Mus musculus: one gene and its partner. The protein of the gene in region 2 purifies or fractionates together with the protein of the main gene of each other region. This does not show direct contact. Links are inferred from orthologs where the notes say so. Each region holds a gene or a part of one and is shown on either strand. Other genes may lie near its edges.

Region 1 (4,418 bases), on a different chromosome or scaffold from region 2:
CAAGGCAGGTTTCAGGATGAGCAATGACAGGAGCAGGGTCCTTCTTCAGTGTCAATGGAATGACAGAGAAGACGGAGCACTGTTAGTCACACAGTCTCAAAGAAAGTGTTGGCTTCCTCTTTTGCCTCATGGTTTTCTGGCCCAGAAGAGCTGGCTGCAAGCAGACCCATGTGCCTGTTAAGAAATAAGGCAGACTCTCATCACCATCCAGCCAATTTTCCCAAGAATTGTGCTTTCCATTGTCGGATAATGGCCTCAACCCTTTTCAACTCTATCCAGTAAAAGCTGACACAGGGCTGTCTACGCTGCCCTTTGTACGCCTTGCAGTGATGAGTGCTTCCAGCAGTGATTAAAGCTGCTTTCCCTCACTAAGTCTTCTGGGGTAGGGTGTCAAGTCCAATAGTTTCTCTGGGTGTCCTGATCGAAAGTGCTACACACACACACACACACATTAAACTAACTTCACACAATAATTGTATTTTCTCCACACATTTACTATTTAAATCTCACCACAATCCTGTCAAGTAGGTACTGTGTTTAACTTCCATTTCCCAAGGAGCCTTATACTCAGAGGCACTACATGACATGCCCAGTGGCATACAGTGGGGGGTGGGAGGGAGGGAGAGAGAGAGGGAGAGAGAGAGAGATCGTTTCTTTCCCTCTTGAAAGAAATTCCTGCTTAGTCCCCAAACTCCCCCCCCCCCCGCACAAATCATATCCAATGTAGAACGTACACCATAATATTTTAGGGTCAAACAGACTACATGGAAGCTGTCTATATGGTGAATAAACGTATGCATTATACAGTAGCTACTGTGTGTGGAGTGGACACACGTTAAGGGGAGGAGCAGCTCATTGACTCTTCAGGAGCCTAGTGGGTGAGTGCAGGGCACTGGAAACCAAGTCGCGCTGGATTTGCCCTCTTAGGGCTTACAGTCCATTGCAAGGCACAAACATTAAAAAAAAAAAAGCTATTATAATAAAATAAACAGGATTTTGTTAAGAGCTACTGAAAAGGTACAGTAGGGGAGCTCTGCTCTGGGCCAAAGCTGGAGCGATTTCCAAGGTGGGAAGTCTGGCCTCTTTTGGTCAGGGAAGGGCACTTTGGGGCAGAATCTCCAAGGAGAAGTCAAGGCAGAGCGAAAGAAAGAAGAAATTATCTCTTCAGAATAGGACTTCACCTAGATGACTGCAGGAAAGAAATTGTGAAGGTAAGAGAGAAGCCAGAAGCTAGTTTATGTAAACAGGCTTGGAGAAATCCGCCGACGGTGTCTGCGGAGCCCAGCGCTGCAGGAATGAGGGTGAAAGGGTTAAAGGGGGCGGTCCGGAGCTGCCCGGTAGTCCCGCCTACCCGCAACGGGGGCGGAGCTGCGCCGGGTGCGCACTGGGATTGGCTGCAGGGAGGGCGTTCCGCTAGGACCGTACCAACAGCCAGGCAGCGCGGAGGCGGGGGTGGGTGTGGAGCGGCCGGCTCCGCGGGGAGCGGCGACCGGGGAATGGCCGGGCCGGCGGTGGGCGGGAGCCGCAGTGGTGGCGGCGGCGGCCCGGGGCGGTGAGTGCGGCGTGGGGCTGCCCCTCCCCGGAGGCGGCGGGGGCGGCCGGGGCCGCGCCTCACCGCACCGCGCGGGCGGCTATGGAGCGAGCCTGAGGCCCGCCAGGTGAGTGGCGCGGTTGGAGAGGGCGCGCGACCCCTCGCCCGGGAACGACGGGAAGGAGGGAGGGAGGGAGGGAAAGCGCGGGCGGCGGGGGGCGGGGCACCTCCCTCAGGGGCCGGATGCGGGGCTGCGGGCGATCGGGAGTCCTTGCGGTGACCGGTGCTCGCTGCTAAGGACGGTCCCCAGAGGCTCCTGGCCCTGGTGTCGCCCTTCTGTCACACGAAGCCGGTGTCGGCGGCCCGGCGGGCAGCGCGCTCTAGCTCGGTCCCTACGCCGCCCTCCTGGTGGCCGAGGAGCGCGCTCTCGCTGAGCCCCTACGGGGCCCGCTTGGTGGTCGGGGAGCGCGAGTGACCTGCAGGCCCTGGGCCGGAGAGGGCAGCGGTGTCCTGCGGTCGTGCGCTCAGAGCGCCAAGGGGCACAACTTAGGATGAGACTGTGCAGAGTGGGCTGCGCTGGCGGTTTCATTTCCGGGTGTGATGGCCCGGCGATTAAGAGCGAGCCCAGACGTTGCCTTGAAGATGAATGCGAACGTTGTCAAGCTGTGTCCTTGATTGTGGAGTCTGATAAGACATTCTTTTTAATCTGGAGTCAGTGATCTGTCAGGCTCCTGATAAAAACGAAGAAAAGGGGGGGGGGAACAACAGGGCGTGGATGGTCCTTATACAATTACTTCGTTTAAAGACTTATGTCTCCAGTAGGATGGGTAAGGCGTTTACAATTTGGGAAAAGGATATGTTTAACACTGTCACTTGGATCTAGGGCCAGGTGTGAGGGTCATCTCTACTCAGCCAGGTTCCCTCCGGAGATTTGATAGCTCACGTTGGAAGAAAGAAATAATGCGATCTTTTCACGATTGAGGTCTACGGCTTTATAATACAACCGAGAATCCGGAAAGTCAAGATTGTCAATAATTAACCATGCCTACATTGCTTGGGTTGTAATTTCACATTGAGCTCAATGTGCTTGCCATTCCCTGAATTTATGCAAGCCGGGTGAGCAAGCTGAAAGCACTTGTGCATGTTATCGTCCTGAGAAACAGGTTCAGGCATTAAAGATGCTAAATTATTTGCATAGGCTCTAAATCAATTTAGGGCAAATTTAAAATTATTGTATTAAATTAATAACTTTCTTAAAGTTTGTGAAGATGTTGGGTTTTGTGTCCCAGAACTGTTACCTGAAAACAAGATGCGGGTTCACATTAGAAAATACTTATCACAGGAGAACAGTGTGGGGTGGGGGTGAGGGAGGGGGAGGGGGGATTAGTCGTCCCCTTTAATCCCACCATTCCTGAGGCAGAGGCAGGCATATATCTGCGGTCTAGGATAGGCTACATAGTAAGACCCTTCCTCAAAAGCCAACAAATCGAGGAAAATAAAAGGTACTGTGCGTAAGTCTAGCCTCAGTCATAATAAAGAACATATAAAAATAATGAAGGGAAAAGATAATTTTAAAAAAAAATAAGACTGGCCGGGTGATGACACAGCGCATGCCTTGAACCCCAGCCTTTGGGAGGCAGAGGCAGGCAGATCTCCGCATTCCAGGCCAGCCTGGTCTACTACAGAGTGAGTTCCATGACAGCCAGGGCTGTCTTGAAAACAAACAAAAACCTGGAATTTACAGCTTTCCTTGTGACCATGGGGTTGATTTGCTCTGTTTCCTTAGGACTAGTGAGAAAATAGGTACTTTTCATTTTTAAAGCACAGGCCTTGCTTTTTAAAATATATTTTGAACCAAAGTATACTTTGGAAAAAAGCAAGTCACAGATTTTTATTTTTCATAATTTTTTATGTCATAGACTTATTTTGTGCTGTTGATGATTATTTACTTTAGTCCCTTCTGTCTCTTCTGAATTTCCAGTTCCTAAATGGGAATTTCTGTTTACTTTTAGGATATGAATTGGCTCCCTCTGACCGCCATTTCAGTGCTTGTAAGTGTGAGGTCAGCAACTGCAGCCTACAGATTGATAACTGTCGAACCCCTGGTGAGTGCCAAGACAGTAGAGTCAGCTGTTAGCGCACTCATGGTTGCGGACAGAAGGAGCTGTGGGTGTCAGGTTGATCTGGGATAGAACACGAGATGATTTTTGTGGATAGGGGTAAAGGGCATAGTTACCATGGGGCCCTACAGTTGTAATTCATAGTAGGTGTGCATTAATTGTTGGTCGGTTGAAGTAATAAATGGAAAGTGGTGTGAGGGAAGCATAAATATTGTAGTGCAAATGCTAGATCTTTTTATGCTCGCCCTCCCCCATTTTTCTTTTCTTTTTTTTTGGGGGGGGGGTTCGAGACAGGGTTTCTCTGTGTAGCTCTGGCTGTCCCTGAACTCACTTTGTAGACCAGGCTGGCCTCGAACTCAGACATCTGCCTGCCTCTGCCTCCCAAGGGCTGGGATTAAAGGTGTGTGCCACCACTGCCTGGCTCTCCCCCGTTTTTTCAATCAAAAGGAATTTTAAAAAAAAGAAGGCAAAAACACTGTGTTTCCGATTTCTGTTGGCCATGTGTTACTAAGGTGGGTGTCTGCAAACGGTATTGTTTATCTGATTCAGTTCTGTGATCATATGGTGTTCCAGCCACCTGCAACCTGACGATCTGGTCACAGAGAGCTGCACAGACTTCCTCCTGCCACTTGGACTGGCTAGCTGAGCAGTTAGATAGATAACCAGTGTTTCGCCATTAATAGAAAACCATGGAGTTGTTGGTCATAACCGTCCCAGTAGCCTCAGTGCTCACTGCCCTCCTGTCCCGCCCAGTGGAGATGAGCGAG
Region 2 (4,602 bases):
AGAGGCCAGACGTTGACCTCAGGCATCCTCTTTAACTGTTTCACAGGCTTCCAGGATCTGTCTTTCTTAGCTTCCTAAGGCTGCTATTACAGGAATGTACTTGGTGCTCATGAGTGCTGGGATTTGAACTTTGGTCCTCACGCTAGCTCAGCAAGCTGTTGACCCACTGAGCCATTCGCTGGGCCCTCACACTGTTTCTGAGGCAAGGCTTCTTATTGGGACCTAGGCACTTACCCATTTGCTTGCCCATGTGGCGAGGCTCACTGGCAAGGAAGCCTCCAGGAATCTGCCTCTGCCTCCCAGATGCCAGTTTCTAATTTGTCCTCAAGTACTGTGCCCACTGACTACCTCCCCAACGAAGCTTCACATCTTACCCCATTTAAAAAAAAAAAAAAATCTCCGCAGGGACAGGAGCAACTAGCCGAACAGGCAGAGCCTGTACGCACAGCTTTGTGCTTTTTGGATTTAACCTTCTGAGTTAAATAACCATTTAATTTACAAAGGACATTTAAAGTCAGTTGGCAAAGAATGACCAGAAAGGTGAAGGAACAAAAAGGTGACGTGAATGGGAGAAACTGGCTGAGGACACATTTTTTTTTTTTTTTTTTTTTCAGGAAAAAGGGAAGGTAGCTTGGGGCTGTGGGTGGGAGGACCTACTGGGACTTACTGTCCCCGTAGGAGTTGAGACAACGTATTTGGGCGCGGGGAATATTCTGTCTAAACCTGGCTTACTCACTGCGTATGGTTACTGTTTATTTTAAATAATACTGGACAGACCTACGATACCGTTTTTGGATAATGTTTTCTCATAAGACCCGCCCTTCTACTTCTCCAAACCCTTCTCAGGTTTGGCAGTTTTTCCTTTAACTTGATTTGCACAAACTGCCAAAGGGATTGAACCTAGTAATTACATCGAAAATAGATTTAGGGCTACAAAGACGTGGCATGAAACTCAAGAGGTTTACTGTCGCTATAAAAGAATCCTAAGGTCGGCTGTCCTAACAGTACAGTGCGCCCTGACCACTTTACAGCCGCAGTCGGAGGTAGGAAAGTTTTACAAACACAATTCGTCAATTTGTTTAACCTCTCTACGCCAGAGCACAGTACATGAACAGCTTTAAACGCCCGAGTGTAGATGACTCCTTTTGAAACTCGGGAGTTTCACAGGCGAAGAGCCAAGTCCTCCCCGTAGGTAGTGAGGACCCGGGCTATAGTGGCTGATCCCCAGGGATGCTGAGGTCTCAGTGGGGTCCGCCCTAGCCTGGCCTCGGCTTCTGGGATCCAGGAGAGATCTCACTGGTCGCTGGCGCCAGGCCGGACCTTTAGAGTGAACTGAGAGGCGGATGAAAGCCGGGCAGGTCACCGATCGCAAACCTTTCGTCTCCAGACTCAGGGCCACTAGCGAGTCCAGAAGCTCAAGTGTCCGCCGAAGTGGGAGGCGGCTAGCCACGCCCCCCGCTCGCGCCGCTTCCGGCACCCCGGCCCCGCCCCGCGCCGGCGCTGCCACATCCTCCGGTGACGTCAGCGCGCGCCGCCATATTGGGAAGCGCCACCGCCGCCGCCGCCTCCGCTCGGGCTCCTGGGCTGTGTGGGGGGCCACAGCCGCGGGCTGAAGGCTCCCTTGTGTACCCCATCGACGCCCGGCCCGCCGGCTTCGCCCAGCTCCGGCTCCTCATGACCGCCTTCGGCCCCGCAGCCCACGGACATCGCCCCAGCTCCAAGAATTAACACGGAAGCTCCCGGGGCCGGGGCCGTGAGGGAGAGCCGGCCGGTCCCGCGTCCCTGTCGGTCCGGCGCGGCTCTTGTGCGGGAGCCATGACCTCGCTGACCCAGCGGAGCTCGGGCCTGGTGCAGCGGCGCACCGAGGCCTCCCGGAACGCTGCCGACAAGGAGCGGGCGGCGGGAGGCGGCGGCGGCAGCGGCGAGGACGAGGCGCAGAGCCGCCGCGACGAGCAGGACGACGACGACAAGGGCGACTCCAAGGAAACGCGGCTGACCCTGATGGAGGAGGTGCTCCTGCTGGGCCTCAAGGACCGAGAGGTGCGGGCGCCGCGGCCCCGGCCGGGGTGGCAGCCGGGGTGGCAGCGGGACCCGGGTGGCTCCAGGTGGGGCCCGGGTGGGCGCTGGCCGAGGCCTCACCTGTCCCTGCTTCCGGAGCCCCGCGCCCCTGAGCGCCCTCTCGTCCCAAGGAGTGTGGGAGTCAGCCCTCTCCGGCTGCGCTCCGAGTGCTCCCGATCCTCCCGGTACCAAGTGCTCGCTTGGGTTTTCCCGTCCTCTGCTCACAAGCACTCTTAGTTCCGAAGTCTTGGCGATCTTTGCGTTTCTTCTTCTTCGCCGTCTGCCGCAAATAATGGCAACTCCAACCCAAGACTGTTGAGATCTAAAGACTCGGGGCTACCGCGGCTCCCAAGTATTGAGTTTTTGCAGGTTTTAAGACCCGGGAGAGGTTCGCGGATCTACTTGCTGTCGGCCCTCTTTCTTATGTAAAACTTGAGTTGCGGCGCGCGGTTAAGAAATTAGCAAAGTTGTTTTTACTGGGTATTGTTTTAAAAAGTCAATACTAAGTTGATATAAAACCTAGGAAGTTACTTTTTGGATGAACTTGGTTTGAGCGAGCGATGAGTTAGTTTTGCGGTTAGATCTGCTGTCGTCCTTTCCGTTTTGCCATTTTAAGGGAGGGCTTGTGAAGAGCTGGGAGGAATACCAAGTTTGCGCTTTGATGAAAGACTGCAAAGATTTAGGTAGGCTTAAGTTGTGTTCTGACGTTTGGAAAGGTCACCCCAGATATTTAGGAATTTCACACATATAAGTTGAAAAAGTGCAAGTGTCCGTCTTTTAAATGTCTGGATTCTGTAGTTAATGTTTGATTGATTTTATTAATACCCATCCATCTCTAAAGATGATTATTTTTAAGGGCAGACTTGCAGGATTGGATGTTTCATAAATCATGTATGATGAGGTGGCCCGGAAGTTTGTTTCGTTTCAGTGTGGAAACTCTAGACAACACATTTTGAGAGTCAGACAGAAAGGTATTGGATCTTGTTTTTAAATACGTTTTCAGAATTCAGGAAGGAGGACAAGAAACAAACCAGAACAAAACTCAGTTCATCCTATAAAACAGTTTTTTAGTTCCTCAGACTTAGCAGCGGTAGAGAGCTGAGTTTTTCCAGGGACTGTTTGTGGTTCCCGGATATTAGATACTACCCAGGGAAGTGCTTCTTGATGCCTTAATACCATTCAGCTTGAAGACACTTAATGGCCCTCAGGCTGTGAAAGGGGCACAGTACCTGTTTAATTACAGTTATTATGAGGAATGCGGTGGTGTGTGTTTCATTTTTAGTTGTGGAGTGAAAAGCTAGATGTTAGTGTGTGGCAATGCGATTTTAGAGAGCATTCACTTAGGAAGTAATTAGATTTTGAAAGCAGGCTTCTTGTAATACACATTTATCTTTCCTTCCCTCCTTCCCTACTTTGGAACAAAACAGATTATGAGACATTTCTAGGAAGTACAAGAAAAACAAAATGAAGGTTACATTCCTGGGTCAGCATTTTGGTTCTGTATGCTAGAACTCGGTAAAGCTACAACGGAACAAAAAAAATTATTTTTGGTATTGTCACATTGAGAAACAATGGTGGAAAAATACCTTTTACTTTAGAAGCCTTACTCTGAATTTTTAATATAAAGCTGTTACCAGTTATTTTTCTGTGATTGGTTCCCGTGAAGATAATCTGAAGAATTTTTTGAATTTAATGCTACTACAACATTCAACTAGTTTTGTTTTGTTTTGTTTTTTAAACAATGGAAGTTCTTTGATGGCAGGTAACTGAGACCATCTGTTGTGGTTGTTTTGTATAAGTATACTTCATAAGTCATGGCCAAGGTTCAGCCAGGCACTAATTTGTAGCATGTGGGGGTGGGCACTTGTTTTTAAAAAAATGTAGGTACATATTTTTTCTTTCATCAAGTGTGTACACAGTAGTGACTAGTCCTATAAACCTATCACCCAGTCTATTTGGGGGATGGTCCCCTTGTCTTTTTTTTTTTTTTTTTTTTTTAAAAGACAAAGTCTTGGTTTCCTGGCTCTGTTTCCGTAGCCACTTAAGCTTTGTTCAATTTGTTATTAACTTAGGTTCTAGGGATTGGGAATATACAGCTCGGTTGATAGAGTGCTTTGGATGAAGTTCTGAATTTGATTCCTTCCTCTGCACAGACTGGGCTTGGAAGCCCATCATGCCTATACTTCCACTTGGGAGGCAAGCCTATCAGAAGTTCAGGGTCACCTTCACCTACATAGAAAGTCAGAGGCCAGCCTGGGCTACATGAGAAGCCATTGGCTTCAGATTATTTACATGGAGTTTTGTTTAAAGTCTTTGTTAGGTCTCAAACTCAGGAAGTATAGCTGCTAGCCAAGGTGCCTATCAGAGCAGACACTGGCTACCTGTCTCAGCATCGCCTATACCTGTTAAGAGTCCTGACTCTTCTTAGCACTTTCATCCAGCCCTCCTACCCTCAACCTCTGCAGCCCCTGAGCTTCACTCCCTTCCCTCAGCTGCTCTGCTCTCTATAACCCTGCCTTTTGGCTATGTGGTCTCTTGGCCTCT

Evidence for each region.
Region 1: the proteins of Golph3 (region 2) and Fam20b purify together in Homo sapiens (affinity purification with mass spectrometry; 3 studies listed by BioGRID and IntAct, with this or other methods). This does not show direct contact. The link is inferred for Mus musculus from reciprocal best matches to the Homo sapiens genes GOLPH3 and FAM20B.

What each region holds. Positions count from the first base shown.
Region 1 is NC_000067.6:156,716,106-156,720,523, reverse strand, and holds the start of Fam20b (glycosaminoglycan xylosylkinase), read left to right. Parts: upstream 1-1,613; 5' UTR 1,614-1,658; intron 1,659-1,732; exon of another isoform or gene 1,733-2,358; intron 2,359-3,543; exon of another isoform or gene 3,544-3,636; intron 3,637-4,418. UniProt on the Homo sapiens protein: Responsible for the 2-O-phosphorylation of xylose in the glycosaminoglycan-protein linkage region of proteoglycans thereby regulating the amount of mature GAG chains.
Region 2 is NC_000081.6:12,319,917-12,324,518, forward strand, and holds the start of Golph3 (Golgi phosphoprotein 3), read left to right. Parts: upstream 1-1,579; 5' UTR 1,580-1,815; coding exon 1,816-2,040; intron 2,041-4,602. UniProt on the Homo sapiens protein: Phosphatidylinositol-4-phosphate-binding protein that links Golgi membranes to the cytoskeleton and may participate in the tensile force required for vesicle budding from the Golgi.